Linked DNA regions of Saccharomyces cerevisiae S288C. The gene in region 2 interacts genetically with the main gene of each other region. Each region holds a gene or a part of one and is shown on either strand. Other genes may lie near its edges. The genes, in order: LEU4, FRE1 and MRX11.

Region 1 (11,002 bases), on a different chromosome or scaffold from region 2:
GCAGGAACTTTTGGTTTAGACTTTTTCTTGCAAGGGAGTTCCTCTTCAGATTTTGAATTCGACGGGGAAACTTTTATTGAGTGTTCTTGAGAGGTGTTAAGCTTGTTAGCAGCAACACTTAAATAATGCGGTTTTTTGACAACTGGTGGCTTCTCAGGTTTTGTGGAGGCCTTTGCTGGCTCAGGATCTTCTGTAGTGGACACACCTGAATTTTTGGTAGATGTAGAGATTTCGTCCGGGGCAGTACTGCTCTTCCTTCTAATAGGAGGACAAGGTCGAGGAACAATTTTCCCATTATCTATGGTCTCTTTAGCATGCTGTAATTCTGAAGAACTTTTCTGTAAAGAGACTGGCTTAGATAAAGATAAAGCGGGCACTGGCGGCAGTGGTTTGGGTGTACTGTGTCTCTCTAAGGCAGGAAGATTGCTCTCACCTTTACGCGGCGATACGCTGACAATGGAAATCTCTTTGGTAGGGGAAAGAAGTTTAGAAGATGGTTCCTTATTGTGCCTCGAGGTAGGAGGAGGCGGAGGAAGCACATTGAGCTTACTTTTATCGGGTGATACGTTACTGAGTCCTCCAGGGCCAACAACAGACGGTTGGGGACTGGGACCAGAAAGTAGAGGCGAAACGCACGAGGAAGTATCATCTAGGTCAATTAGTTTTATGCCCGCTGATTGAACGGTTGCATCTAAGGGTATACTTTCCTTTTGTTTTTCCATTCTTGCATGAGAAAGTTCGTCAGGACCTGTAGTTAGTGCTTCGGGATGCGTATTCTTATATTCTGCATACAGCTTCTCAACTAGGTTAAGCTTCTCTTTTTCGTCAACAAATTTCACATTTGCCCTATATGCAGCATAAACTGGTTTATGATCGCTTATTTTTAAAGGTGCGTCCGAATATGCCAATGGATGCAGGTTTTCACCTTTATATATGATTCTATCAGTCCAAGACGGAGTTCTCGCCTTTTCAGAAGTATCATAATTATCTGTGCCATAATCATATTTATAGGTCGGACGGAATTGGAGGGTCGGTTCTTTAAAGCCCTGAAATACCACTCCTTCATTTATTTCTTGAGTCAACTGATCATATTGAAGCAATCTATCAATATAGCCATCCTTTTGAGCCCTTAATTCTCTTCTAACTTCATCATTTGTCAAAGTTATCCTGTAGTTAAGGTCACCCAACCAAAACAACGAATCATGGTGTGGAATTGTCTTTGATCTTGGAAAGGTTATGTTCCTGTAGATATTGTTGTAGTCATTGCGACGTTCGTCAATGTTACTCGCACCTGCTGATAAATGTGTATTAACGAAACAGAATGAAGTTGCCCCATAATCGAATCTAATGGCTACTGCACCTTTGTTTCCAGTAATACCACCAAACCCAGTCTTTTTGGTAGACCCACCTACCTCTTTTATGTTATAGGCTCTATCTGATCTTGCAAAAAATAGTATCAAAAGAGAGGACATCTGTTCCACTCTAAGTAAAAGATATTTTTCTTCGTATTGATTCAAACAGTCAGTAACCATAGTTTCCCAAAAAGAACTTTTCGTATAATCTGCATTCAAGATAGACCCTGCGGTCAACTCTATAACTTCCTGCAACCCTAACACAACGACATCAGGTTTGAATTTATCGCCGATTGGAAATAACCATTTTGACAAATCTGCTCTTCGAGAGTTTCCGTTAACATTGAATGTACCGACAAACAAATTTATGTTAGAATGAGTGGTGAATTTTTCCTCTGACTCTAACAGCCTTTCATTGACGTATTCGCAGATTGGATCATAAAGTTCAACAACTTGCTGGTGCGGTAGTTTGCCCAAAAGTGTGTCAATATTTTGCTGTTTTCCTTTATCTACAAAATTGTTGATGTACATTCTACTAACGGACTTCGTCGCATCAGAAAGGGCGCCAGAAAAAGACATTTTACCTTTCCTTGAATAGGACGATTTCAGAGCATTTGTCCCAGTGTAAATTTGTGATATCTGATCTCCGTTGTCGGCCCATAAAGCATTCACCTTTTGCACAAATTCATTATCGTCGATGAAACTACTGGGTTTTACCAATCGGAAGTCTTCCAAAAATAGTTTGAAAACGGCCAGTGAAATCGTCTGTTGGATCAAATTTGTTCTATCTAAACAATCCAAGCAATTGGTTCTAAAGACACCGTCTTGTTCGGATATTAATCGCCCTTCTTTTACATCGTATGAAAAGTAACCGGCGTCCAAAATTGTGTTTCTTATTTTAGGGATAATCCTACTTGCAGCTGCAAACCCATCTTGCGAAGTTTCTCTATGGAAATCAAAGCTTGTTAGGAACACATCTCTACCGATTTTCATTTTCTCAGAATTTTTCAACTGTTCCTTGTATCGCCTCGATAATTGAATTTCTGAAGATTTAGTAGACAGCAGGTTGATTATATGAACTGGCCCATACTTCTTAAATAGTCTTATAAAATGTTCATCAAACGTGGGCTGTGTTGCTTCAACAGATCTGGTAATTTGAATCTTTGGACTAATCAAAGATGTATCCTGCTCCCAAAAAATTGGAAGGCTTCCTCTTATCTGCGTGAAAGCATAACAATACTGAGAAGAGTACATAATCATTTCTGTTTCAACAAAATTTGCGACATGGCCATCATCATCTATACCACGTGCATTAAACCTTGTGCCTGCTCTTTTCCAACTTTGCCTGGAAATAATGGTAAGTCCTACTTTCAACCTATTAATATAGCTAAAAATTGTTTCAGCAAACCCTCGGATTACGGTCGTGAGGAATCCTCGTTGATCCAATAGTTCTTTGGCCGTTACATCTAGTCTGTCTCTGTATGTGATGATTTCGTCCATAAGAAACGAGTTCCACATAAACTCCCGGTCAAAATCATCAAAACTCAAAGAGTGTTCCGTGAATCCACGTTTCTGCAATGTACAAGTTAAATCAAAATCGGTGCTGTAATAAAAAGATCCATTTGATAATAGCTTTCTTAGTTCATGACATGGATGCTTGGGAGCTTGTTCTTGAGCATTCAAACTCCTAGAGGAAGAAGAACGTAGCGATGATCTAGAAGAATGTGTGGAAATACTAGGAGGCGAGCTTATTGCAAAATCTCCATCATTAGTAACAATCGGATAACCGGATGAATCGATGTCCATGAAATCCCATTTAGAATTATTTAAGCAAAAAAAATCCACAGCATATATTTTGTTAACCGTTTTGTTTGGGATCGGCTGGGCCACCTTAGATTTACCTGTTATGGTTGCTATGAACATAAGGCCTTCAATTTCTATGAGACCAATAAAACCGTATATTTCATGGTTAGATAGTCTTCTGAAACCATTACCATTTAATTCAGCTTTCGGAACCAATTCCACGGCACATGTAGATCTGCGAGAGTTCTTACTGTTTATTGGCCTAAATACCAGTCCATGTGTTTCTGAAACTATTGCTATCTTTCTAGTTTGCTGTTTCGATAGGAGTATTTTCATAGCTACTGAGTATTTGTTTTTGATTCTGCTGCCTTTGCGTGGCCTTTGTCACCAATTCTGCGAACAAAAATATGTTGAGACTATATGAAGCGAGTACTTATTGTCCTTTATGCCTAGTTTTCCAGTTAAATCTCTCTTAATAACTCCAGGTTTGTTTCAATTTCGTCACTAACCGCCAAACAAGTTTCGGGTCACCCCACACGTATTTGGTTCAAGAATATACTAAAAAAAGAAAAACAAGCACTAGCCCTAGATATGGAAAAAAAGATATTAAAACGTAATTCTAATTTAGACATCCGTGCTTCTAGTAATTATATGGTTAAAAAAAAAGGAAAGGAAGTAAATAAATAAGTATAGAAATAAATAGAAGCGAATAAGTCCTGAAATACAGAAAAGTTCTTATGCAGAGCCAGATGCCGCAGCATTCTTACCTTCGACCTCGGCCAAAGATGGAATGGACACATCACCAGAATGGATAATATTGTTAATGGTGGCAAAGATGGCTCTCACTGAAGAATCACCGACATCTTCGGAGACACCTACACCCCATTTGTAGGCCTTTTCGTTGTCGGCATTACGCCTATACGATAGATGGATGTAAGAAGCAGCTTGCGTAGAAGAACCAGAACCTAGAGAATGCTCTGTGTAGTTTGCTACGGCAAATCTCACGTTCAACAAGTTTGATAGGGCGTCGACCAAAGAAGAGATTGGACCATTACCTGTACCTTCAATATCGACGATCTGGTCGCCTACTTTGACTTGACCAGTGAACACTCTACGTTCAGTGCCGAATTTTTCAACATTATAATTGACTAAACTAATAGCTTGGTACTGTTCGTCATTGTAGTTGTAAGCCTCTTTGAATAACTTGGAAATCTCATCTGATTTTAGTTCTCTACCCAAGGAGTCAGCATGGTCTTGAACGGCGCTAGAAAATTCGATTTGCATGTTTCTTGGTAGATCCAAACCCAAAGATCTCAAAATAACCCAAGCGGCACCACCTTTACCAGACTGAGAGTTGACTCTGATGACAGCTTCGTAATCACGGCCAATGTCCTTTGGATCCAATGGCAAGTATGGGATTCTCCATTGAGTTTCACCTTGAGCACGCTTCTTGTTTTGTAAGTTGAAACCCTTCTTAATGGCGTCTTGGTGAGAACCGGAAAAGGCACAAACGACCAAGTCACCGCCGTATGGTGCTCTTTGCGATACTGGGATCTTATTACAACGCTCAACCACATCTAGGACAGAGGTCAAGTCAGAGAAATCCAAATTAGGAGAAACACCTTGGGTATACATATTCATAGCAACAGTAACCAAGTCCACATTACCTGTACGTTCACCATTACCAAAGAGACATCCTTCTACACGGTCGGCACCTGCAAGCATACCTAACTCTGTGGCGGCGACACCGCAACCACGGTCATTGTGACAATGTGTAGAGATGCAAACCTTCTCACGCTCAGTAATATGGGTAGCGAAGTATTCAATCTGATCAGCATAAACATTTGGAGAGGCAACTTCTACGGTAGCAGGTAAGTTGAAAATGATTGGATTTTCCTCGGTAGGTTCCCAAGCCTTCTTAACAGCTTCGCAAATTTCTACAGCAAATTCACCTGGAGTATCACTGAAACATTCGGGGGAAAACTCATAGGACCAACGAGTGGCTTGTTGGGAAGGGTCATCCTTAGTTAGTTTCCTAACTAGTTTGGTGGCCTCTACTGCCTTGGAAATAGCTTCCTCTCTAGACATATTAAAAACAATTTCACGGAACATATCACTTGTTGCCAAGTAAGTATGTATAGTAGCCTTTTTAGCACCTGTTAATGCTTCCACCGTTCTCTTAATCAAGTGTTCTCTAGATTGGACAAGACATTGAATACTAACATCGTCTGGGGCGTTTTCTACAGCATATCTAGTGAAGTCGAAATCTGTTTGAGATGCAGAGGGGAAGGAAACCTCGATTTCTTTGAACCCAATATTGACCAGCTTGTGAAAGTATTCTTTCTTTTGTTCCACTGACATGGGATCCGGCAGAGATTGGTTACCATCTCTCAAATCTGTTGATAACCAACGAGGAGCCCTCGTGATCCGGTTATCCGGCCACTTTCTATTAGATAGCTTTGGAGCGTTAAATGGCTTGTACTTGGAGGAAGGGTCCTTAAGCATATTTTTATAGGCTAGCTTCACTGGAGGAATAACTCTTGAGGCTCTGGAGGCCGCATGCTCAGCAAGAGCAATAATACTCTCTTTAACCATGATTGTTCCTTGTCTTTTTGTAAGGAAAAAGTCTACAGTAAACTTCTAGTGTGAGAATCCTTTTTTTTCTTCAAAAAATACCCTTTGAAAGAACTGAGTCACTTACACGTAAGTTTCTTTTTACTGGTCAAGTTGAAAAATAACCAATAAATGATTATGGAAAGAACGTTGAAAGAGGAGAGAGGCTGACCCAAGAGGAGAAAACATCGAACCTACGCGACTCCATAGCGCACATCTCCCATGCGCCCGTGCTTATATATATATAAATATACATACACACATACATGCACGCACATACATGCACGCGCATGACAGTGACTGGCCGTTACTGTACAATTTTTTCAGCCAAGTATGACACACATTCAACTCAGCTTTTCTGAGGCCTTCTTTCTTTTCCTGCGCGTCGGTAGAGCGATGACTAACCTACTACTGTCTCAGAGCCGGTCCCGCTCCGGTAGCAATCCTGGGGCTGGTCATAACAGCCGAGTGGAAGTGTCAAAGCGGAGAACAGAAGCATAAGCTCAATCGCTGGACATACGGATGCTTATATACGTCTTATTGTCGTTGAAAAATATCGAATTTTTTACTTCATTTATCGAGGCTTCTTCGAGCACTTTTCCGCTATGGCTTTTTCCCCGTTTCCTTTTAATCACGTGCGCGGGTAGCACCCGGCACACAGCTGGTGTCTCGTCGCACATGCTATTGTGTGTCATCGGGCCACACAAGCATATTGCTTGAATTTTCTTTCATCGTTCAACTTAAATCCACCCAATCTAGATGTAGCCGTAGCATGTAATAACGTATATCCTTGTTTACATGCATCTGTGCCAGGTGAAACGGTCTGTTTGAACGCACATCATTTCATATATTAGTCAACTCCTGAAGGTCTTCTTGCCTGTCCGTCAACTGTTTAGACAGACTCTCGTCAATAAAGCGCACTTCTGATAAGCACTTTTATTCCTTTTTTTCCACTGTGAACGATGAAGCAGGAGCAGTCCCACGAAGGCGACTCATACAGCACGGAATTCATAAATCTCTTTGGCAAAGATACCGCAACACACCCTAGCAGCAACAACGGTGCTAATAATAATGGCATGGGGAGCACGAACTCGTTGGACCAGTTTGTGGCAACAGCCTCATCGTCATCTTCTCTGGTGACCAGCAGCGAGAATAGGCGCCCCCTAATAGGTGACGTTACCAATAGGGGCAACACTAACCTATATGACCACGCTGTCACGCCAGAAATACTCTTAGAACAGTTGGCCTACGTGGATAACTTCATACCATCTCTGGATAACGAGTTCTCTAATGTGGATTGGAATGTGAATACCACCCATAATAATGCAAACAATAATGGCGCGGACACTTTCAGCAGCATAAATGCAAATCCTTTTGACTTGGATGAACAACTAGCCATTGAGTTGAGTGCGTTTGCCGACGATTCTTTCATCTTCCCAGACGAGGATAAGCCGAGCAATAACAATAACAACAGCAATAATGGTAATGACGACCATAGCAACCACGACGTATTGCATGAGGACCCTTCTACCAATAATAGACAAAGAAATCCTCACTTCTTGACTCAAAGAAGGAATACTTTCCTAACTTCCCAATACGACCAATCAAAGTCTCGATTTTCGTCCAAAAACAAAAGAAATGGCAATAACGGCGAAACAAACAACTTTGGCGACAATATGCAAAATAACCATCCTTTTGAGCCAAACTTTATGGGAAGCCCTTCTCAGTTTCCCGCTGACGCAACTAATATGACATCAATCGACCATGGCGGCTTCACAAATGTTGACATTACATCAACTGAGAACAATACTACCGGTGACAATGGAGTGGATGCGCTATCAAATCTACTACATAGGACAACACACACACCGAACCGCTCCTCCCCCCTAAGCAATGTCACTTCTGCTCAAAATTCCTCTTCACAACAACGAAAACATTCGGAAAGCAAAGTCGATAGTAACAGCGATAATAACAGCTCCAACAAAGCCCCCAATATAACTGTTCCTGACTATTCAATTATACCAACCTCTGTTTTAGTAACTCTATTACCGAGGGTCAACGTGCCCAACGGCGCATATAACTCGTTGATCAGCGCGGGATTTGACAATGATCAAATAGATGCTATAGCCGCAATAATGGCGTATCATCATCAAAAAAAGATTAGGGAAAATAACAGTAATAATAATAAAAACATCAACACCAATGACAGTCAAGAGGCACCCATTCTAAAAAACATCAACGAACTTTTAAGTGTCTTAATACCACCCTCTCCGGCTGAAACTGCTGCGCCAACTACCTTATCAACGTCGCCTTCGTTCAATGAGCACGGTGTAGTAGCAGAGGCTTCTTTTCTAAGCTCCATTTTGGAACTGGGCATAAAGCATCCAAAAAGTAATAATATTCACAATCAACGACAACCTTCACGAAACGATCATAAAATATCAAGAGAGAGTGACGGTAACAATGGAAACGATAATGTCCATCATAATAACGCTGTTATTAAGTCAAGTACGACGCGTGGAGACGAAATTGCCAAGATACGATCCGAGCCAACTTTAAATGCAAGTTCTTCTGATCACAAGGAAAATAGTTTAAAAAGATCACACTCCGGAGATTTGAAAAATAAAAAAGTACCCGTCGACCGCAAGTATTCTGATAATGAAGACGATGAATATGACGATGCAGATTTACACGGCTTTGAAAAGAAGCAACTGATCAAGAAAGAGTTAGGGGACGACGATGAAGATTTATTGATACAGTCGAAAAAATCTCATCAAAAAAAAAAACTAAAGGAAAAGGAGTTAGAATCATCGATACATGAACTGACCGAAATTGCAGCATCCTTACAAAAACGGATACATACGTTAGAAACGGAAAACAAGCTTTTAAAGAATTTAGTTCTGAGTAGCGGTGAAACGGAAGGAATAAAAAAAGCTGAAAGCTTAAAGAAGCAAATTTTTGAGAAGGTTCAGAAAGAATAAAATAACAGACTATACAGTTTAATTATATATATATATATATATACGTGCATTTTTCTTAAAGAAATATAACTTTTTTCTTGTACTGCCTGCAATCTCTATTCTTCATTCATCACACATCTATTCAAACGCGTTAAAATTTTTTTGTTAGCCTATAAGTAAAACGCGTCGCGTGTATCCAATTTTACTGAATTAAATTCTTTACTCATTGGATGATATATATCTTCTTGGTCTAGACAACGAACACATACCAATTCAGACTCACGAGAAAAAAAACTGTCTTCACTCTGCTATTAGAAACCAAATAGTATCAAGGCATAAAATAAACAGTGGAAAATGTCTTCTAAAAGTGAAAAATTAGAAAAATTGAGAAAGCTGCAAGCCGCTCGAAATGGTACATCCATCGATGATTACGAAGGTGACGAATCAGATGGTGACAGAATATACGACGAAATCGACGAAAAAGAATACAGGGCCAGAAAGCGCCAGGAATTGCTGCATGACGATTTTGTTGTAGATGACGATGGTGTAGGCTACGTCGATCGTGGTGTCGAAGAAGATTGGAGGGAAGTTGATAACAGTTCAAGTGATGAAGACACTGGAAACCTTGCTAGCAAGGATTCTAAAAGGAAGAAGAATATAAAAAGGGAGAAAGACCACCAGATTACAGATATGCTGCGAACTCAACATTCCAAATCAACACTGCTAGCACATGCAAAAAAATCCCAAAAAAAAAGTATCCCCATCGATAATTTTGATGACATTCTTGGTGAGTTTGAATCTGGTGAAGTAGAAAAACCCAATATTTTACTGCCATCCAAATTAAGGGAAAATTTAAATTCTTCGCCGACTAGTGAATTTAAATCGTCAATAAAGAGAGTTAACGGAAACGATGAGTCAAGTCATGATGCCGGTATTTCTAAAAAAGTCAAGATTGATCCAGATTCAAGTACTGATAAATATTTAGAAATCGAATCATCACCGTTAAAATTACAAAGCAGGAAACTGCGCTACGCAAATGATGTACAGGATTTATTGGATGATGTGGAAAATTCCCCAGTAGTAGCCACAAAGAGACAGAATGTACTTCAAGATACGTTACTAGCAAATCCACCATCCGCTCAAAGTTTGGCTGATGAAGAAGATGATGAAGATAGTGATGAAGATATTATTCTGAAAAGAAGAACTATGAGAAGTGTGACAACAACTAGACGCGTGAATATAGACTCAAGAAGTAACCCTTCAACTTCACCGTTTGTCACAGCACCCGGAACGCCAATCGGTATTAAAGGACTAACTCCAAGTAAATCTTTGCAGAGCAACACCGATGTTGCTACACTTGCGGTTAATGTCAAAAAGGAAGATGTGGTAGATCCGGAAACTGATACTTTCCAAATGTTTTGGTTGGATTACTGTGAAGTGAACAACACTTTGATTTTATTTGGTAAGGTTAAACTAAAGGATGATAATTGTGTGTCAGCCATGGTTCAAATCAACGGTCTCTGTAGAGAGCTATTTTTCCTTCCAAGAGAGGGTAAAACACCTACCGATATACACGAGGAAATAATTCCGTTACTGATGGATAAATATGGACTGGATAATATCCGCGCTAAACCTCAAAAAATGAAATATTCGTTTGAGCTTCCTGACATTCCATCTGAAAGTGATTATTTGAAAGTCTTACTTCCATACCAAACACCGAAGTCCAGTCGAGACACCATTCCATCGGATTTATCTAGCGATACCTTTTATCATGTTTTTGGTGGGAATTCCAATATTTTTGAAAGTTTTGTTATTCAAAATAGGATTATGGGACCATGCTGGTTAGATATAAAGGGAGCAGATTTCAATTCAATTCGTAATGCTTCTCACTGTGCGGTTGAAGTTTCGGTAGATAAGCCTCAGAATATCACGCCTACTACAACAAAGACAATGCCTAATCTGAGATGTCTATCTTTATCGATTCAGACGTTAATGAATCCCAAGGAAAATAAGCAAGAGATTGTTTCGATAACGTTATCAGCATATAGAAATATCTCGTTGGATTCACCGATACCTGAAAATATAAAACCAGACGACTTGTGTACTTTAGTAAGGCCGCCTCAGTCAACTAGTTTCCCATTAGGTTTAGCTGCACTGGCAAAACAGAAACTACCCGGTAGAGTCAGGTTGTTCAACAACGAAAAGGCCATGCTATCTTGTTTTTGTGCTATGTTAAAAGTGGAAGACCCAGATGTTATCATAGGCCATCGTTTG
Region 2 (11,002 bases):
TAGCCCACCAAGTAGATAACCGCCACCGATAGTGACTGCACTGATTAGTTCTCTATTCTCGGCAGGTTCGTCTAGACCCCTACCGTACCTGATAATGAAGTCAACCATTAGCTCAGGTGTTCTTTGTAAATCTTTGATGAACGAAACGATTGTTTCGTCCGAGAAATTAGGGTTAATCTCTAACAGAATGTCTTCAATTTCTCTGTTAATTAGGTTGGAGTTATCGTAAAATTTCCTTTTCTCCTTCTTTACTTCAGCATGATAATAATCAGATTCACTCTTCGCTCCCAAATAGCCACCAAGGCCCATAGAAATCGCACCTGAGATCAACTCAGCAAAGCCACCGGTAATGACCAATTTCGCATCACCAAGTGAAGATAGACCAGCTGTTAGAGCAAAGGGGACGGTTAAACCGTCGCTTAGCCCGATAATCAAATCGCTAATTACGCGAGGATCTACTGATTGGAAGAACCCTAGGTTCGCCTTTTCGTTATCCGAACCGTTATCGCCATTCCTATTATCTTTCCCTACTGACATCGGTGAGTTTTCTAGATCCTGCGCTGAATTTCTACCATAGATAATATCCGAGCTAGATGAGGATAAGTTATCATGCCTTGAACTATTGCTATTACTACCCCTCAACAAGGGAGTTGATTCAGACCCCCCCAACTCTGAGGTTCCACCACTACCTTTCGCTTTCTGTATAAGGGTCACCACTGCGTTCTTTAGTGCTACAATGGACATAATATTTGTGTGCACGAGATATGGGAGGACAAAAAAAAAGTTTCTTTGTTCAATATACCAATAAAAAAAAAGAGTCTAAAGGCTTCGTTCTGTTATATTTCTATTCTATAAACCTAAAAAAAGCAAAAATTGAGAGTGATGTCGCTTTAACTTGATTATTTGAACTATTTTGTTTTGTATCAATTTTTCATATATAATCTTAATTTTACATCTTCATTGTGAGACATTCGGGCTAACAAAGAAAACAAAAAATGCGGGTCACGAAAGGGGTACCGAGCCAATGAGAAGAGGGTATGTTAGTAATATTAGTGAGAAATGCGGCGCGATTGGTCCAGACCGAAAAAAATCAATATTATTAAACTGTAAAAGTTATATTAAAAATTAAGTTACATTAGTAATTGAAGTTCACAAGAAGAAAAAGAAGAGAATAAATCTAAAACCAGGCTTCAAAAATTAGGGTTGATTGCAAAATTCGAGTAAACAACTGCTAACGGCTGCTTTTTTTCTTGAACAGTTTAGTGAAGAAACTGGACTTCTTGTGCTTCGTGGGAGGATCTTGTGTTTGAGCCTGTATTGTCTTAGTGGCATGTGTCGAAGTGACCATTGTTGGCTCAGCGGCAGATAATTCATTCGTCGATGATGTTGTTGGATCCGTGGCGTCTTCCTGACGCTGAGGGGTTTGGTCCTGTAAAAGCGAAGAAGAAGACTTTAGATTATCCTGCAGTTCCGGTGATCTTGTTCTCGTTGTTGAAGCTACTGCGGAGGTAGGTACATTGCCCTGACTTTGCCCATTCGAGGACGCAGTAGTCGAGTCTATTTGTTGTTGAAGGGGTGAAGGTGAATCTGTAACTACTGGATTCGTCATCACACCTTCGTTTGAAGATGGCTTTGCGGTTGTCACACCTTCCGAAATAGACGCTGCTGGGAAGCTTTCTTCAGCATTACGAGTAACTGGAGTTTGTTCGCCTTGTTCCTTCTTGTGCTGGTAGCCGTAGTTTTCTTGAGAGAATTGCAGCACTTTATCGAACATGGTTTTGAACTTATTTTTGGAAGAACCAGTTGTTTTTGTCTTCTGCAATGGAATGGGCTCGTATTCATGCACTTCGCTTTGGACTGGAATTTCAGAATCCCCTAAATAGTGCTGCTCATTGGGCGGGATGCTCCCAGTGGATCCCAGATGGCTAACGCCGACCTGACGAGGTTTAGCCGCCGTAGTGCTATTATCGACTGCTTCAGGTTGAATACCATGTGAGTTGTAATACCTCGCTTGTGCGATTTTCAAAGCTTGGTCATACATTTCTTTATCTGTTAGCCCTGTGTTTGCACTTTTAGGCTCTGGAACTGGGTCAACAGCCTTATTCGATTTAAAATGTGTAGACACAGAGTGATTGTGCACTTCATGGGGGGCGCTTTTAGTATTTCTGCTGAAGAAGGAACTTGTAAATCTTTTTGGTTGAACCTCGACATTAGATTTGACAAGATTAGCAGTCGCCGTCGGAGAATCACTACTGCTTCTCAAGGTCATTTTTTGACCCATCCTACTTTTCCTGGATTTGTTACTCCCGAGGGGGGCCGATGCGTTATCCGAAGCAGCATCCGTGTGATAAACGTTTCTTTTAGCAACCTCTAGTGCCTTCAGATACATTTCTGCTTCGGTTAATGGTTTCTTGGCCTCTGCTTCTGCGTTTTTCACGGCAGGCGGTCTTTTCTTCCTTCTTGTCGTCGATGCTTGCTTCCTTTTATTATGAATATATTTACTACTGGTCTGATGGGTGGGAGGAATATAATCTAATGCGTCACTGAAGTTTGATAAACTACTTTCTTCTTCTAGAGGCATAACGTCTGTAGAATACTTATGGTGGAAATATGATCCAAGTGGGAAATCTGGTTTTTCCACGTTTAGCTCTGAATCATCTTGTAAATGACTTTCGCTTACTGGGGAATATGGCTTTTCGTTATCTGTTTCGTTTTCCTCGATTATATCGTGAATGTTATCACTAGCTTGTTCCTCTAAAATGTCGTCATCTTGCAACATGTAATTTTCACTAAATTCATCGAAATGACGCTGCGAGTCACCTAATGGAACCAAATTCTTAGTCGTAGTCGTGGTTTCTACGTATTCATACCCATTTATTTTTCTTATTGTCTTTTTGGTAATTGATTGAGTCCTTCCTGAAGGGTCTGTTACTTGTGTAGTCTTTACGGTAATGGAGTTGGCCCTTGAATCGTTATTGTTGCCGGCCGTCGATTTGTTCTTACCGTAGTTTCTTCTGACATTCGCACCAGACGTCATAGAATTCATACGGCTCCCATTAGTAGTATAACCGGGCGGGTGTAAATGGTACTCTCCGCTCCTTTGCGACCTCAACGAGTAAGTCTTCTGTGAATACTGCTTAGCTGCTGCCCTGGACGTTGGCGGAGCGGCAGAGGATGTGGAAAGCCTTCTTCCTGGGCTCTTTACCGAACTTCTTTGTCTCGGTATTGAAGGTGCATGACTAACCAGCGAGTGCGACCTTGAGTAATTGGTTCGATCCGGTGATGCGGCAGAAGCAGCAGAGGCAGCAGCAGCAGAGAGCTGAGGACTTTTGTTATAATCTTCATGGTTCTGATAGTAGTAATCATACCTAGATAAATCAGGTACCCTCCTGTCCCTCTTTGTAAAACCAAATACCATTTTCAACTTTCTTGATCAACAGAATGTCTTTGTTTGTTTATTCTAGTGAAAAAATAGAAGTAAAAAGCAATCAATATAAGCAACGTGAAACGATCGAAGGAAACTAAAAGAGGTTTGATGTTAGAAGAATTGATTAACACCAAATCAAGCAATTTATTGAAGTATGGGTCCCTGATGTTTGTCCTTCTCGTTCTTGCTTTCCCTCCCCTCTTCTCATCCATTCGCTTCATTTATGCTTTTATTTTCTTCTTTTTTTTCTCACAACAAATGTCCGAAACAAAAAAAGGGGCCTCAGCCATTAAAGGTAGTGAAAGGCACTTCTAAGAGTTGCGCCAAACAAGGGAAGATTAAAGGGAAAGAAAAGCTCTGGCAGGCTAAAACTGGCAGACTGGTCATGAGTGAAACTGGCGAAACTTCAGAGTATTATAAGCAGGCGCTGGAAGAATACAAAGAGGTCCAAGAAGACGAAGACCCGGATGTGTGGGACACGAGAATATCCAAGACCGGATGCTACGTAGAGAACCTCGCATTACAGCTGTGCCATGCCGAAACAGGTGACTGGAGGCAGTGCTTCAACGAGATGGCGTTATTTAGGAAGTGTTGGGAAAAGAATGGTAATAGAGAGCGCGTAAGCACAGTGGACGTGGATGGGACGACCAGTAAGGATTCGGAAAAGAAGAAATGAAAATCTAAATGTCGTGATGTATAACTTGTATATAATAGACAGCTGCAGTGATCGAAACACATTGTTTCCCTTTATAGAACATAACTGTTACGCTTTTGAACGGCATTTCTATGAGCTTCTAGAATATTTTTCCGCCCTAGCTGGAGAAAGTTCAGACAGAAAATTATTTAAATAAGTCGAATATCAGAGGTGCTGATGCGCTCACATCACATAGAAAACTGGTAAGACAATATTCAGGCGATCAAGGAGTAAAAATGACTAGACCTAAAACTTTTTTTGATATTTCTATTGGAGGTAAACCCCAAGGCCGTATAGTTTTTGAGTTGTACAATGACATAGTGCCTAAAACGGCTGAAAATTTTTTGAAGTTGTGTGAAGGAAATGCTGGTATGGCAAAGACTAAACCTGATGTACCATTGTCGTACAAGGGTTCCATTTTCCACAGAGTGATCAAAGACTTCATGTGTCAATTTGGTGATTTTACCAATTTTAATGGTACTGGCGGTGAGAGCATATACGATGAAAAATTCGAGGATGAAAATTTCACTGTTAAACATGATAAACCATTCCTTCTATCCATGGCCAACGCCGGTCCAAATACCAATGGATCTCAAGCTTTCATAACCTGTGTTCCTACACCTCATTTGGACGGGAAGCACGTTGTGTTTGGTGAAGTGATTCAAGGTAAAAGAATTGTTCGTTTGATTGAAAACCAACAATGTGACCAAGAAAACAACAAGCCATTGCGTGATGTAAAGATTGATGACTGTGGCGTGTTACCTGACGATTATCAAGTGCCAGAGAATGCCGAAGCTACACCAACAGATGAGTACGGCGATAATTATGAAGATGTTTTAAAACAAGACGAAAAAGTTGACTTGAAGAATTTCGACACCGTCTTGAAAGCTATCGAAACGGTAAAGAACATTGGTACTGAACAGTTCAAGAAACAGAACTATTCCGTGGCTTTAGAAAAATATGTCAAATGTGATAAATTCTTGAAAGAGTATTTCCCAGAAGATTTGGAGAAGGAACAAATTGAAAAAATCAATCAATTGAAAGTGTCTATTCCATTGAATATTGCCATCTGTGCTCTTAAATTAAAAGATTACAAGCAAGTATTAGTAGCCTCATCGGAGGTGTTATATGCCGAAGCGGCTGACGAAAAAGCCAAGGCCAAAGCTTTGTACCGTCGTGGCCTGGCCTATTACCATGTTAATGACACAGATATGGCTCTCAATGACCTAGAAATGGCCACTACTTTCCAGCCAAATGACGCTGCCATTTTGAAAGCTATTCATAATACTAAATTAAAAAGAAAGCAACAAAACGAAAAAGCTAAAAAGTCTCTTTCGAAGATGTTCTCCTGATTACTTGCATTATATATATGCTTATATGTTTAAATACTAAACAGTTGCGCTGCCTCAGTAGTTAAGTAAAAAGTACGTAGAAAACTCTGTTAAAAAAATTATTTTTTCAGGCATAATAAGCGGATATTTTCCGATGTCCATTTATGCAGTGGGAAGATTAAGAAGCTAATGATACCGTAACTCCACCAGTGAAACTAAAACGTGCGTCCAAAAAGCGCTGACATAAATTACTTATTGATGTCCTCACAAGAATATACAACTTTTATAGATATACCAGTGACAAGAGCGCAGGTTGAACACTGTTCTTACTCGTTTTGGTCCTCACTGTATCCCAAATATGTGCCAAAATCCATAGTGTTAAAATCCTTACCGAAAAAATTTATTCAATATTTGGAACAAGACGGTATCAAGCTACCCCAAGAGGAAAACTCCAGGTCTGTGTACACCGAGGAAATAATAAGAAATGAAGATAATGACTATAGTGATTGGGAGGACGATGAGGATACCGCCACCGAATTTGTCCAAGAAGTTGAGCCATTGATAGATTTTCCAGAATTACACCAGAAATTAAAGGATGCTTTGAACGAATTAGGTGCAGTGGCTCCCAAGTTAAACTGGTCTGCACCAAGAGACGCTACCTGGATTTTGCCGAATAACACTATGAAGTGTAACGAGGTAAATGAGCTTTACCTATTGTTGAACGCATCCAATTACATAATGCATGACCTTCAAAGAGCATTTAAAGGCTGCGTGGACGGGGATGATATAAAAGGATTGAAATTTGACTTGGTACTTAGACAATGGTGTGATATGAATCCGGCACTCGAATTTAGGGTCTTCGTTAAGAATGCGCATATCGTTGGGGCCACCCAGCGTGATTTAAATTATTATGACTATTTAGATGAGTTGTCAGATACCTTCAAGGACCTTATTGATGAAATAGTTCATGATGTCGTCCTGCCCAAGTTTCCTGATAAAAGTTTCGTTCTTGACGTTTATATTCCAAGACCTTTCAATAAAATCTTCATTGTTGATATAAATCCGTTTGCCAGGAAGACAGATTCTTTGCTATTTTCATGGAACGAGATTGCTGCGATAGCACCTCCGAAGAATGATGTTGAAGATTATGAATTAAGGTTAGTGACGAGGCATAACACGGGGAGATTCGCTTCAAAAGAGCACTCCGAAAATCATGTTCCACAGGATCTCGTAGAAGCTAGTTTAAATCCTGAAGCAATCCGAGAGCTCACTCAAAAATGGAAAGAACTACTCTCTCAACAGGCAAAGGAAGAAAGCAGTGATAGTGAGAATGAAACTTAGATTTAGAACCCGCATTTGAATATATTCGTCTTTTTATTACCCTGTTGTATGATTATATAAAATTATTTACATCGATTTATATTAACTTTTATCCGATAAAGCAACAAAATAACAAAAGTATGCGTGCAAGAATTATTAACAAGGGGCCTTACCATGTAAAACTTTCTTCTTCTAGTTCAACGTCAATCTTCAAGGAAGAGTCTATACCTTGGACCACTGCATTTCTAAAATCGTCGTTAAACGTTGCTGGCCCGCAGGAATAAAAGGTAATATTATTATTCTCTAGTTCTGAGAGTTTTATTTCCGAGCGCACTAGTTCTTTCAAATCAGGTCTTTTATTGAGACATTCAACAGTGATTTCGCTTTCTTCTTTATCATCAAAACCTTTTGTACTCTCATCTGAATTTGTGTCCTCAACACTGGAACCAGTATATATGACTGAGACTTCACAACTTTTCTCCTTTAACCATTGCAATTCATTTTCAAACCATTTCAAATGGGATAGGTCATTAACAATCCAGTAAAATTTATGCTGAAGTTGATCAGTAGATGGTAACCGTAAACATTCGACAAAGTGCGGATAAATAGCCGCAACACCCAAACCAGCGGCTACACCTACCAGATTTCTTTTTAGCTTAGCGATATGTGGAACCGTTACACCATATGGGCCTTCAAGGAATATTTTACAATCAACAGTATGATTTGGAGCACTTAGAACTTTCGATAACAAAACTCGAGTGATACCTTTATTTGCCTTTACGTACATCGTCAATTGATCTGGATTGTTTGGATCACGGTGTCGTTCCGATAATACTGTAAATGGATGTGATTGGAAACTATAGAACCATGCACTTTTTGGTGATAAGAAATACATGTATGCGAAAGCTCCTACTTGGTACTTGAAAAACTTTGGTTTTTTTACTGAAATTTTAATAACATTAGAATCATCAGTGGTACTCAAAGTAGCAGTTTTCAAGCCACCATTCATGATTATTCTAACAATCCTGCAGAATCTATCAAAGCATAAAATACCAGCCATTGACCAAATCCAACCCATCCAGCCCAGGGTGTGACAATGGTAGTACATGGCAATAATGAACATAATATTCATCGCTTTATGAATAAGAAGGAATATCTCATACCCTCTATTTCTAAATACTTTTTCACTTTGGAAAATAATAATAGACATTAATATCGTTGCCACTATACCCCACCTAAAGTAAAATTTCCTAACCAGACTTTGAAACACACCTCTTTTCACTCCCGAGGCGGTCATGACAATTGAGTGTACAACGGCCAACATGAAACAAACGTAGGCAGACCATTTATGATAGAAATTAAATGTAGAAAAGGAAAGCCCTGTTATAGGGATGAAGGGATTATTTCTTATTCCGAATAGATAGACTACTGGGAAAAGTGCAATGGCCATCAAGTCTGCTCTACGACTCACAAAGGCCATACTTCTTCTCCATCTGGGCCTATCATATGGGTGTGGAAGTTTAATATTATGACCAAAACTGAGAGATAATATAGTCAAAATAACAAAAATTAATACGACGAGACCCTTGCCTCGAGTTGTAAAATTAAATGGTAGACGCTTCCATAAATAAAAAGTTCGTTCATTATAATCTTTGTAAACAGAAGGATAAATAAGTGATTTTTTGACGGAGTTTGCCATGATGTTCTTACCAAACACCCTTTTCAGAATGTTCAAGATAGTGGCTGCAGTAAGCACAGCCACCCAGAAGAAGACGAGACCCCAAGCGCACCATTGAGAGCGCATTAGGTTAAGATGGATACCATAATTTTCCTCATAATAATAATGATACGCTGTCTCGTTCGCCATGAGCGGTTGACTAACCACGGTTTTTTTATCACTTTTCTCAGGTGCTCTCAAATAATTTGACGCATTTAAATAAATATTCTTCATGTCCTCTAAAGTATAAACTTTGATGCTTGAACATTGGGATGCTAACTTCATTAAGGCGCTGTCTAGTGTTTTGTTAGATTTGGAATTCTCATAGGCACATGCTGTCACTGAACCCAGCCAATTGATGTTTTTACAGTAGCAACTTTTAGATTTACTAGAACATCCAAATTGGTATAGCGCAGCTTGGGAAATACATGAAGTGCTAATAAGTGTAGCACTCGATTGAACCGTAGCAAAAAAAGATATAAATAAGCAGAATAATACACGGGTTCTAACCATATTGATCCGGCTCGTTCTTCCGTCGGCGTGAATATGCGAGAAATTAGATGATTATATTACCTTCCAAAAGGGAACTGAAGCATGGAAGAGAGCAAACGACTTCAAAACTGAGATTTTTACATGATTTAAGTATCCATCGCTGTAGATTAATCATCGCAAGATCAGGCACTTTAAGTTCCTTGAGAGAACGATCTAGCCTTGAGGATATTAGAAATTGGGTGTATTAGTAAATCAAAGTCGAGCCGCTATAACAATTTTCGATGAGCAAAAAAAAAAGGTGAGCAAAAATATCGGCGAAAATGTTTGGGTTGGGAGTAGATTCTCACCAAGATTGCCACAGTTAGTGTTCTTGGCAATTGCTGCAAACCCGTCAAGCAACCTAAATACATTTTTATCGGGTATTCTTCAACTATTGTACCGCTCTTTACTGTCAATTGCATCTGCCGTACTTTTCATTTACTTCTTATGTGCTCGTTCTACTATACTTTTAAAGGCGTCACAAAAATTATGTAAAGCCTCGCGACGATCATGTAGGAAAAAAAAAAAAAAGACAATACCAGCTAATAATTATCGATTAATAACGAAATACAAGAACAGTCGTTTAGTTTAGAGTATCATCAAGGGCTTTTGCACGAAATAAAAATATGAGAATATCAATATTACAGCTGGTGCCGGTTGTTGGCTACATCGGATTTGCACTGGGAGAATTATACAAACCCAAAAACTCCATTTCTTGTTCTCCAAATAACCCTTGTCCCGCAGAATGGCCGTGCTGCTCGCCGTATAATGAATGTGGCGCTGGACCGATATGTGTCGGTGGCTGCAACGTGAGGTCATCTTTCGACGAGGAAAGCTGTGCTCCTATACCTGCATTAGTCGCCAGTCAAAAACTTGAATTTGTTAGCACACCAAAGGTTCCTAAATTTATTGTGAACTATCAACCTAAGCCACCAATAAGAGAGGGAAATGGACCGAATAAGGCAAATACCAAGGTGGGTGTAGTAGAAGGGGAGCTAAATTCCAAGAGAATCATACACTACGCCAAATTCTTGGTCACTCCAGACAGTAAAGAGGCAGAGAAAATGTTGGAAGATTTCGATTTCACACATAGCGGCTACACATCAATTGAAGCGAGTAGCGGGAATATTGTTCTGGCTATGCCAAAAAAAACTACCGGAAGTTTGATCACATCGACCAGGTCGTTTCTATACGGCAAGGCAAGCGTGCGAATGAAAACGGCGAGGTCGAGGGGTGTGGTGACTGCATTTGACTTAACATCCGCAATTGGGGACGAGATTGATTTTGAGTGGCTGGGTGGTGATTTAATGACGGCCCAATCAAACTACTATTCTCAAGGGCATTTGGATTACACAAGAATGCAAAGATTTCCCGTAGGCGCTGACACTTGGGCCACTTACCACACTTATGAGATTGATTGGGACCCGGATAGGATAATATGGTATGTTGATGGTAAAATAGCTCGCACAGTCCTGAAGAAGGATACCTGGGACCCCATTAGTAAAGAATATAGGTACCCACAAACGCCGATGAGACTAGAAATCGCTGTTTGGCCAGGCGGCTCGGAAACCAACGGACCCGGTACAATAAACTGGGCAGGTGGCCTCATAGATTGGGAAAATTCACCCGATATTATCGAAAAGGGCCAATTTACGGCGCATGTTGAACAAATCACCGTAACGCCGTACCAAAATAAATTCACAGAACAAGTGCAGTTTTGTATAAAGGCAAAGAAAAAGGCACCAACCTTTTCCCAAAAAGATTTGTCAAGAGTAGTCGTTTCGTATAACAGGCAAGACAGACTGAATCATCATGATGAGGGGTCTCTCAAATGGGACTGCTTTGTTACTCCAAAGATAAATGACTGGTTGAGTTCTTGGAAACGGTCAAAATAGTCACAGCAATAATGTCTTACGAAGTTCTCTCTTCCGTAACGGATCCTCTAATTCCCTGCATGAAGGCACGCTCTAATATATATGTAT
Region 3 (10,310 bases), on a different chromosome or scaffold from region 2:
TCCAGAGAAGCTACTTCATCAATCAATTGACTTCGCAATTCCCTTAAACAAAAAAAATTTCTTTTGCCCTCCCTCGACGATTTTGGAGTAGAGAATACCTTAGGCCTTTTTTTTTCTTTTTTCTCACGGCTGCTCTTCCTCTTTTTCGCATATTCTATTTTATCATCGACTTCCCTAATTCGCACTCGTACCAAAATGTTAAGCAGTATGGCGAAGAACGTGGCGCGCTGGAGTCGTGAATGTTTGGGTCCTTGATGATGGACTACGGTAGTAAGTATGTAGTAGTTGCAACTTCATATGTTCACTTCTGATCCAAGGAAGAGCGGTTATGAATTAATCTCTTGGCATGAGCGGACGGGTAAGGGGACACCGCCTTTTCTTCGATGGGAATCAGGGTAATGGTATATGATGGATTATTGTGGAATCATTTAGTACGGCAGATGTTGAAAAAAAAAGCAGAAAATTTTTGAATTTTTTTCGTTGACATTGGAAGATTTCGTAGTGGAAACAGCTGCAATTGCTTGTTAAGTAGTAACCCCTCCTTTGTCACAAGAGAGCGAATATTCTTTCTAGGGAGGTTTAAGAATAGAACATCTCACACCAGACGCGACTCATAATTCATAATGCCAATTGACCAAGAAAAATTAGCTAAGCTACAAAAGTTGTCTGCTAACAACAAAGTTGGTGGTACTAGAAGAAAGCTTAACAAGAAGGCAGGCTCTTCTGCCGGTGCCAACAAGGATGACACCAAGTTGCAAAGTCAATTAGCTAAGTTGCACGCTGTCACCATTGACAACGTCGCCGAAGCCAACTTTTTCAAGGACGACGGTAAGGTCATGCACTTCAACAAGGTCGGTGTCCAAGTTGCTGCTCAACACAACACTTCTGTATTCTACGGTCTACCACAGGAAAAGAACTTGCAAGATTTGTTCCCAGGTATTATCTCTCAATTGGGCCCTGAAGCCATCCAAGCCTTGTCTCAATTGGCTGCCCAAATGGAAAAGCACGAAGCCAAGGCTCCAGCTGATGCTGAAAAGAAGGATGAAGCTATTCCAGAGTTAGTTGAAGGTCAAACTTTTGATGCTGACGTCGAATAAATAACTTAATCTTTAATTTTAACGTTAAATAAAAAAACACATATTTTGTTCCATTTTTTTTCATTTTTTTTAGCATATCTAAAGCATATAATACAAACACTGTTTTCTGCAAAAAAAAAAAAATAAAAAATAAAATATAAAAAAACAATATACCACACTATGCTGCACACGTGAAATGATGAACTTGTACGTCACCACTTTGTGCGCAAAAAATTGGCAAAAGTAGAGAACATGTCACTAACTGTATCGGAATATTACAACGTTTTTTTATTCTACTTATCTCAATGGCTAAAGTATATATCTATCTATATATGTATGTGTAGGTGTGCTGATGGAGACAAATACGTTTTCCTCTAGCCTTACAACAGGCCGGTACCATTCTTTATCGCATCCTTGATGAGCTCATCTACATCAACGTCTGAACCTTCACTTAGTTTCTTTCTGTTTCTTTGACAGGTCAGTGTGTTAGAATGTCTTTTTAGAGCATCCTTCCTGGCAAACCCTTTGCCACAGTTTGAGCAAATATGCGGCAGCACGAGTGAGTGTACCTTTTCATGTCTTCTCAGATCAGAACTTCTGCTGAATTTCAACTGACATTTCGCACAGCTGTAGAGCTGTGCGCCTTCCTTGCTATGGTTGTTACCTCCTGTTCTTTTTGTTTGTGTTTCTGGAATCCTTATAAGACCTCTAGCCATATTTTCCGGCTCCCCAGCCTTTAAAACATTTTCTGGTGCTGGTATAACTGCGCTCAATGGGCTGGATTGTCGAATTCTGTGGAGTAGCTCTCGTATTATGGGGTCCGTATGAGTGGGACTTGATGAGATTACCGCTATAGCTTCTGCCGCTTGTTTGAGAAATATTTCATCTACATTCATGTCTTGCGCCAGTTTCATATGCACATATAGACTATCGACTGTGTATATTGAGCCCAACTTGTTAATGATCAAATCTCTTTACGTACTGAGGAACGGCTTTTTCTTTTTCTTACCCATGTTATATTTTGCATTAGAACAAAAAAAAAATTGATGGGCTAGCAAAATTTTTAGACTAAAATTTAGAGGCAAGATATGGTTCTGTAAGACTCGAAAAAATTCTCATAATATATACTTGCTTGTGTGAAAGTGTTCTTTTGTTTTGTTTTTTTTTCTTGTGTATAATTATACATGTTTTTTTTGCCTTTTGTACTCAAGAAATCATAAATGGAAATAAAAATGACCCTTGAATGATGAACAAAACGACAAACCATACTTTATTAAACTATCCTAAAAGCTTCTTGTACTAACTTTTTACCCATTTTGTTAAACTCCTGTAATTCTGTCACCAAAACATATCCGTTACTTTGACCCGACCATTCACCAGAGTCACTTACTTGGGTGGGTTCGATCCCACACTCAATTAATGATCTAGAATGCAAACCATTTGGTGTGTCTGGGATAAACGTAGTTTGTCGATATGTATCGGCATCAGCCCCCATGCTATGCGTTTCTTCATGTTCCGACCGCCTATCTTGGCCTTCCCCATCGGAATGGCTATGAAGCGAGTATGCCCTTGTATGTACATGTAGATCATCAGCTGACCTATTGGTAGAGAAAAAAGGTGATGCTGATGAATTGGAGTTCATAAAAGAACTTCTGAGGAAGTACGAATGTTGTTCACGTCGAGATAACATTTGCCTGCGTTGTTGTCTACTCCGCCGAATAAGTACAGGCCTCACAATAGAACAACAATTTATCACTTCTTCCAGTGGCAAGCCTGTTATCTGGGAATAGAGATGATAGGTTTCATCCCTCGTGGTAATCCTGTCGCGGTCATCGCCTACAACATTTGGCACACTTAAGATGAAAGCAGCTACAAATAGTTTGTGTAAGCTGAACTTTAAAAACTTCATGTAGTTAGTTTCCTTCGAGCAGCAATCTAGAAACTTGATGACAATGCAACAGACCTTTTTGAACTGTAAATGCGATGATTTGGCTCTGTGTAGGATTATTTCTAAAAATTTGGTTGTTTTCAAATGATTTGTGCCAATAATTGCATTGTCATCATCACTAGGCATGGTAACTAATAGGCTCGCATACCGCTGCATAATCCCCTTAGTCACTTGCGCTATCATGAACTTTTTCAATACCACTTTTTGCTTTTTAAATGACAACTCAGCAGATGCCATGTTATCAGCACCGCTCAAATTATACTCCTCTTTCAGCATCCCCCAGCGTGAATAATTCTACCCCGTATTCTTTAAATATTTAACATAGATGGCGATGATGTGTCGCCCCATATAATGTACTTTAAAAACAATAAAATCCTGTTCTGAAAATGTCGATTCTTTTTCCGCAAGCGAGTTAAGAAACGCAGAAAAACAGCAAATATAAAGGACCAAGGCTAGAAGTTATGGAACACAGTATACTAAGAACGATCTTTAGCTACTTATGAAGCGCTCCAGGCTTGTGCCTCAACATATCTTTAGCATTATTAGCAAGCGATATCTCGCCAAACATGCCTACCAAAAAACATTAAACTTGCCCAAGACCAAATTCCCTAATAGATCAAACTTAGAGATTACATTGAGGGAATTAATACCAAAATCTTCGCAGTTAGTTTACAAGGAGCAGCTACGTGATTTCTTCGAAGAATTTTCAAAGCTTAATACGACTGATGAAAAATTAGAGTTCATTAAAGAAAAGTTGTTCATCTTACATGATGGACCGCCCTATGCCAACGGCGAGCTCCATCTCGGTCATGCTCTAAATAAAATTCTGAAAGATATCATAAACAGATATCAACTTTCACAGGGGAAGTACATTTTTTATAAGCCTGGCTGGGATTGTCATGGACTACCCATCGAGATTAAAGCTTTGAAAGATTTAAGCGCGCAACAGATCGAGTCAATATCGCCTTTAAAAATCAGGTCAATGGCTTTAAAACATGCACAAAAGGCAATCAAGAGGCAAAGGGAAACTTTCCAACATTTTGCCATCTTAACGGACTGGGAAACACCATACCTAACAATGGATAAAGACTATGAAATTAATCAGCTAAATATTTTTAAAGAAATGTACGAAAGAGGACTGATTAAGAGACAGAACAAACCGGTTTACTGGGGTACAGAAACTAGAACAGCGTTAGCAGAGGGCGAATTAGAATATAATGAAAACCATAAATCCATCGCTGCTTATGTTAAATTTCCTCTTGAAAAGAAATCCCAGATGGATCTGTGCAAAAAACTAGGAATAACGAATAACTTGCCTATATACTGTTTGATTTGGACCAGTACTCCATGGACTCTTCTCTCTAATCGAGCAATCTGTTTCAATCAGGATTTTTCCTACTCCCTATTACGCTTAAATAGTGAACTTATCCTTGTAGAGACCGGCTCCATTGATAAATTGGGCCTAACAACTAACTCATTTGAGACTATCAAACAGTTTCAAGGAACTCATCTAAATGGGCTATATTATCAAAACCTCTTAGTAGACGATAAGGTTGGCAGGCCCTTATTACATGGTGCACACGTTACCAGCGGTACAGGGACTGGATTGGTTCATACAGCACCAGGGCATGGACAGGATGACTATCTCATTGGTATTCAAAATGGTCTTGAAATTTATTCTCCCGTGGATCACCAGGGCCGCTACCAATTAAATGAACTTCCTCAGTCCGTCAGATCCATCGTGAGAGATGAAGGAGACTTAACAAAAGGTAGGCAAGTATTGGATGCCGAAACCGCGAAAATCATTCTATGTAAGTTAAGCGACCTTAATTTACTTTACAAATCTCACGAATACACGCATTCTTATCCGTACGACTGGAGATCCAAGAAACCTGTCATAATAAGAGCTACTCCACAGTGGTTTGCAGATTTACACGATGTAAAAAACTTGGCTCTGGAAAGCATCAGCCGCGTCAAGTTTTGTCCTAAAAGAGGCTATTCAAGACTTTCATCCTTTATGAAAAGCAGAAATGAATGGTGCATATCTAGGCAACGCTCATGGGGTATCCCTATATTAAGCTTTTACAAGAAGAGCGAACCGGATTCTGTTTTGATGAATTCAGAAATTTTGGCACATGCCATAGAAAAAATCAAACAAAAAGGAATTAATGCATGGTTTAACGATAAAGATAATGACATGAAAGAATGGTTGCCAGAAAAATATCACGACGTAGCGCATGAATACTGTCGTTCTCAAGATACTATGGATGTGTGGTTTGATAGTGGGTCGTCATGGAGTGTGATCAAAGACTTTTATGAAAAAAGCTTAAAGTTGTCAAAACTCCCATCCCCCCTGTACCAAGTTTGTCTAGAAGGATCTGATCAACATAGAGGATGGTTTCAAAGTTCACTGCTAACAAAAGTAGCATCAAGTAATGTCCCTGTTGCACCATATGAAGAAGTGATTACTCATGGTTTTACCCTAGATGAGAATGGTCTGAAAATGTCAAAATCTGTGGGAAATACAATTTCTCCCGAAGCAATAATTCGAGGCGATGAAAACTTAGGCTTACCAGCTTTGGGTGTTGATGGCTTGAGGTATCTGATAGCACAATCGAATTTCACAACTGATATAGTTGCTGGCCCGACTGTGATGAAACATGTAGGAGAAGCTCTAAAAAAGGTTAGACTAACTTTTCGCTATTTATTGAGTAATTTACAGAAGTCCCAAGATTTCAACCTTTTGCCGATTGAACAATTACGCCGTGTTGATCAATATACCTTGTATAAGATAAACGAACTGCTGGAAACGACGAGAGAACACTACCAAAAGTACAACTTTTCCAAGGTTCTCATTACTCTACAATATCATTTAAATAACGAGCTATCGGCGTTTTATTTTGATATCTCAAAGGATATTTTATATTCCAACCAAATATCGTCATTGGCAAGAAGGCAGGTCCAAACAACGCTTGTCCATATACTAAATGCATATAGGGCAATTCTTGCACCAATATTACCCGTTATGGTCCAAGAAGTATGGAAGTATATACCAGAAGGATGGTTACAAGGACAAGAACATATAGACATTAATCCGATGCGTGGAAAATGGCCGTTTTTGGACTCAAATACGGAAATCGTCACCTCCTTTGAAAACTTTGAACTAAAAATTCTAAAACAGTTCCAGGAGGAATTCAAGAGGTTAAGTCTAGAAGAAGGTGTCACCAAAACAACACATAGTCACGTTACCATTTTCACCAAGCATCACCTCCCATTCAGTTCTGACGAGCTTTGCGACATATTGCAATCATCTGCTGTTGATATATTGCAAATGGACGATAATAATAACAGTCTACCAACTATTGAATTGGGAAGCGGAATAAACGTTCAAATATTGGTTGAACGAAGCAAAAGGCACAACTGTCCCAGATGTTGGAAGGCCAACTCAGCCGAAGAGGATAAATTGTGTGACAGATGTAAAGAAGCTGTGGATCATCTCATGTCTTGAATGACATGTACCTTTCCTGTATATAAAGAATGCCAATTATTGGCTCTTAGAAAATAAAAACCCTCTTGTACTTATTAGTGGGTACCTAACAGGTCCCCTACTGACATTTTGATGCAGGGCCTCGGCCTATTGTTCTTACCAGCTCTCAGCGCGTTATACGAACAGGAAGCAAAGAAGAGAAATGTAAAAATATTGCTTTTGAGAGACCGTGTAAGGATAAGTGTTACACCCAAGGCACCCTCACCAGGAACATGACTGTCATGAATCTTTTCTTCAGGCCCTGTCAACTGCAGATGGGCTCTGGACCGTTGGAGCTCATGCTTAAAAGGCCAACGCAATTGACCACGTTTATGAACACCAGGCCCGGCGGATCAACCCAAATTAGATTCATATCGGGAAATTTAGATCCAGTGAAAAGAAGGGAGGATAGACTACGTAAAATATTTTCCAAGTCACGACTTTTAACAAGGTTAAACAAGAATCCTAAATTTTCACACTATTTCGACCGCCTCAGTGAGGCCGGCACGGTTCCAACACTTACATCATTCTTCATCTTGCATGAGGTAACTGCCATACTACCACTGTTTCTACTATGGTGGTTACTTTATAACCTCGATCTTTCTGATGATTTTAAGCTCCCAAACTTCTTAAATGGCCTAATGGATAGCTGTCATACAGCTATGGAGAAATTTGTTGGTAAGAGATATCAGGAATGCCTCAACAAAAACAAGTTGATTTTATCTGGCACAGTAGCCTACGTTACAGTAAAATTACTATATCCGGTACGCATTTTCATTAGTATCTGGGGAGCACCATATTTTGGGAAATGGTTGCTTCTTCCCTTTCAAAAATTAAAGCACCTTATTAAGAAATAAAGCTTTTTTTTCCTTTTTTTTTTCTGGCCCAGAGACGGATTATTGTTTTCAGTTGAAGTTGCGCACTCGGCATATGATTTATAGATTCCCAATATATTGTACTTCGTTATATATGTGTTACGAATATTTTTGATTTCGTTTTAGAGAGTTTTGATTAGAGGAAATTATAGCTTTTTTTAACAGTGAAATAAATATCATACATCAAAAGTCTTCAAGAATTACGTGGTGTGGCTTAAGTTGCGTTTCATTTTCCCGCTTCAATACTTGAAAGTTATCCCACAATCACTGCTGACAAAAAGGATACAAGAAAGGTTTATAGGAAAGAAAAAAGGCGGAAGGGTATACTGAAGTTAGTAATTTTGCTTCCCAATTGAATTAAGGCCGCCTAGTTTTGACGGGAGGAGAGAGAAATGTATAATGGCAAGGATAGAGCACAAAACTCCTATCAGCCAATGTACCAAAGGCCTATGCAGGTACAAGGACAACAGCAAGCTCAATCGTTCGTTGGAAAGAAAAACACAATCGGAAGTGTGCATGGAAAAGCCCCGATGCTAATGGCCAATAATGATGTTTTTACTATTGGACCTTATAGGGCAAGAAAAGATAGAATGCGGGTATCTGTCTTAGAAAAGTACGAAGTTATTGGCTACATTGCTGCGGGCACATATGGTAAAGTTTACAAAGCGAAAAGACAAATCAACTCCGGTACCAATTCCGCTAATGGTTCTAGTCTGAATGGTACCAATGCGAAAATTCCGCAGTTTGACAGCACGCAACCAAAATCAAGCTCTTCAATGGACATGCAGGCAAATACAAACGCATTAAGAAGAAACTTGTTAAAGGATGAAGGAGTGACCCCCGGAAGAATACGAACTACGAGGGAAGATGTATCCCCGCACTATAATTCCCAAAAACAAACCCTCATTAAAAAACCGCTGACGGTATTTTATGCCATTAAAAAGTTCAAGACAGAGAAGGATGGCGTCGAACAATTGCATTATACGGGAATATCTCAGAGTGCCTGTAGAGAAATGGCATTATGTCGAGAATTGCACAACAAGCATTTAACCACATTAGTGGAAATTTTTTTGGAAAGGAAATGTGTCCATATGGTATACGAATATGCGGAGCATGATCTGCTACAAATTATCCACTTCCATTCCCATCCCGAAAAAAGGATGATACCACCAAGAATGGTTCGGTCTATTATGTGGCAGCTTTTAGACGGCGTATCGTATCTTCATCAAAATTGGGTGCTTCATCGAGATTTGAAACCCGCAAATATAATGGTGACCATAGATGGATGTGTTAAAATTGGTGATTTAGGTTTGGCCAGAAAATTTCATAATATGCTGCAAACCCTCTATACTGGGGATAAAGTGGTTGTCACTATATGGTACCGTGCACCTGAGTTGCTATTGGGAGCACGGCACTATACCCCTGCGGTTGATTTATGGTCCGTTGGCTGCATTTTTGCAGAACTGATAGGATTACAGCCCATATTTAAAGGTGAAGAAGCTAAACTAGACTCTAAAAAGACTGTTCCATTTCAAGTGAATCAACTACAGAGAATTTTGGAAGTTCTTGGCACTCCCGATCAAAAAATTTGGCCTTATTTGGAGAAGTATCCAGAATATGATCAAATTACGAAGTTTCCAAAGTATAGGGATAACCTTGCTACATGGTATCATTCCGCGGGAGGAAGGGACAAGCATGCTTTAAGCTTACTTTACCACTTGTTAAATTATGATCCAATTAAAAGAATAGATGCATTTAATGCGTTGGAACATAAGTACTTCACAGAAAGTGATATTCCTGTTAGTGAAAATGTATTTGAAGGTCTAACTTACAAATACCCGGCAAGAAGAATTCACACGAACGATAATGACATCATGAATCTTGGATCAAGAACGAAAAACAATACACAAGCTTCAGGAATCACCGCAGGTGCCGCTGCAAATGCGTTAGGTGGGCTTGGTGTTAACCGTAGAATTCTGGCCGCGGCAGCAGCAGCCGCTGCTGCGGTGTCAGGAAACAATGCATCAGATGAGCCATCTCGAAAGAAAAACAGAAGATAGGCTTCTATTTTTATATATATTTGGAATTTTTCATTCCACAGCACTGTCACTATTATATTCATTAAACTTTTTTTTATCTTTATAGTATTTAAATCGGCATACAGTTTCAATTTTTCGCTTTAGAGGCACTAAGAATGCAAGTCTGCAACATTCAGGTAAAATAATGGGTTGATTTTAGGTCGAGCTAAAACCCTGTTCTCCGCAGATGTATGCGAATTTCGTCATAATTCATCTCAACTAATGGGGCTTTAAAACATATGAATATCTCATGCATTCCCAAAAAAGAAGAAAGAAAAGACTTCAAGTACCCCCCTTAATTTTTATATAATGGTAGTAGTAGGTTTGTTCGTAACTTATCGGCAATAGTAATATGTTCCCATTATAACACATCTGTTAATGGTATTCAGGTTAATAACCATAGCAAAAAATATAAACAACTTTGTACATTTTCCATAAAAAAGAATGACTTTACGAAAACATTGGATGAAACAACCAGTTCATCCCGTTCAAAGTCTAAACTACGTATAAAGTAGAGTTATCATCGGTTAACAAAGTACATTGTGTAGTATGTAGAAGGGCTGAAACCATCAAGAAAAGGAGGGACACGCTCATACAAAGGAGAAGTCATGAATTCTAAATGTATCTAATAAGATACGTGAATTCAGCATCACCTAGTTATTAATGACCAGCCGAACCTAAAAGTCATTGCACAAACAATGTAGAAACATAGCTAATTTTACATACTTTTATTTGCGGTCTACTTATAACCATTATGTATATCATGGGAAATAAATAATTCTCGTCTTGCCTATTACTTCAAACGGA

The links.
Region 1: mutations in FRE1 (region 2) and LEU4 together harm fitness more than expected from each alone (negative genetic interaction), as found in Saccharomyces cerevisiae (2 studies listed by BioGRID).
Region 3: mutations in FRE1 (region 2) and MRX11 together harm fitness more than expected from each alone (negative genetic interaction), as found in Saccharomyces cerevisiae (2 studies listed by BioGRID).

Annotation. Positions count from the first base shown.
Region 1 is NC_001146.8:421,005-432,006, forward strand, and holds LEU4 (2-isopropylmalate synthase LEU4), read right to left. Parts: upstream 5,751-11,002; coding exon 3,891-5,750; downstream 1-3,890. Other genes in the region: phosphatidylinositol-3-/phosphoinositide 5-phosphatase INP52, read right to left, coding at 1-3,491; MET4 (Met4p), read left to right, coding at 6,731-8,749; DNA-directed DNA polymerase alpha catalytic subunit POL1, read left to right, coding at 9,083-11,002. UniProt on the Saccharomyces cerevisiae protein: Catalyzes the condensation of the acetyl group of acetyl-CoA with 3-methyl-2-oxobutanoate (2-oxoisovalerate) to form 3-carboxy-3-hydroxy-4-methylpentanoate (2-isopropylmalate).
Region 2 is NC_001144.5:566,567-577,568, reverse strand, and holds FRE1 (ferric/cupric-chelate reductase), read right to left. Parts: upstream 9,003-11,002; coding exon 6,942-9,002; downstream 1-6,941. Other genes in the region: CCC1 (Ccc1p), read right to left, coding at 1-744; MSC3 (Msc3p), read right to left, coding at 1,232-3,418; COA4 (Coa4p), read left to right, coding at 3,651-4,103; peptidylprolyl isomerase CPR6, read left to right, coding at 4,358-5,473; cell proliferation protein CDC123, read left to right, coding at 5,711-6,793; CRR1 (putative glycosylase), read left to right, coding at 9,647-10,915.
Region 3 is NC_001148.4:472,215-482,524, reverse strand, and holds MRX11 (Mrx11p), read left to right. Parts: upstream 1-6,783; coding exon 6,784-7,407; downstream 7,408-10,310. Other genes in the region: EGD1 (Egd1p), read left to right, coding at 624-1,097; MET31 (Met31p), read right to left, coding at 1,457-1,990; YPL038W-A (uncharacterized protein), read right to left, coding at 2,152-2,343; YPL039W (uncharacterized protein), read right to left, coding at 2,350-3,300; isoleucine--tRNA ligase ISM1, read left to right, coding at 3,524-6,532; cyclin-dependent serine/threonine protein kinase SSN3, read left to right, coding at 7,818-9,485. UniProt on the Saccharomyces cerevisiae protein: Component of MIOREX complexes, large expressome-like assemblies of ribosomes with factors involved in all the steps of post-transcriptional gene expression.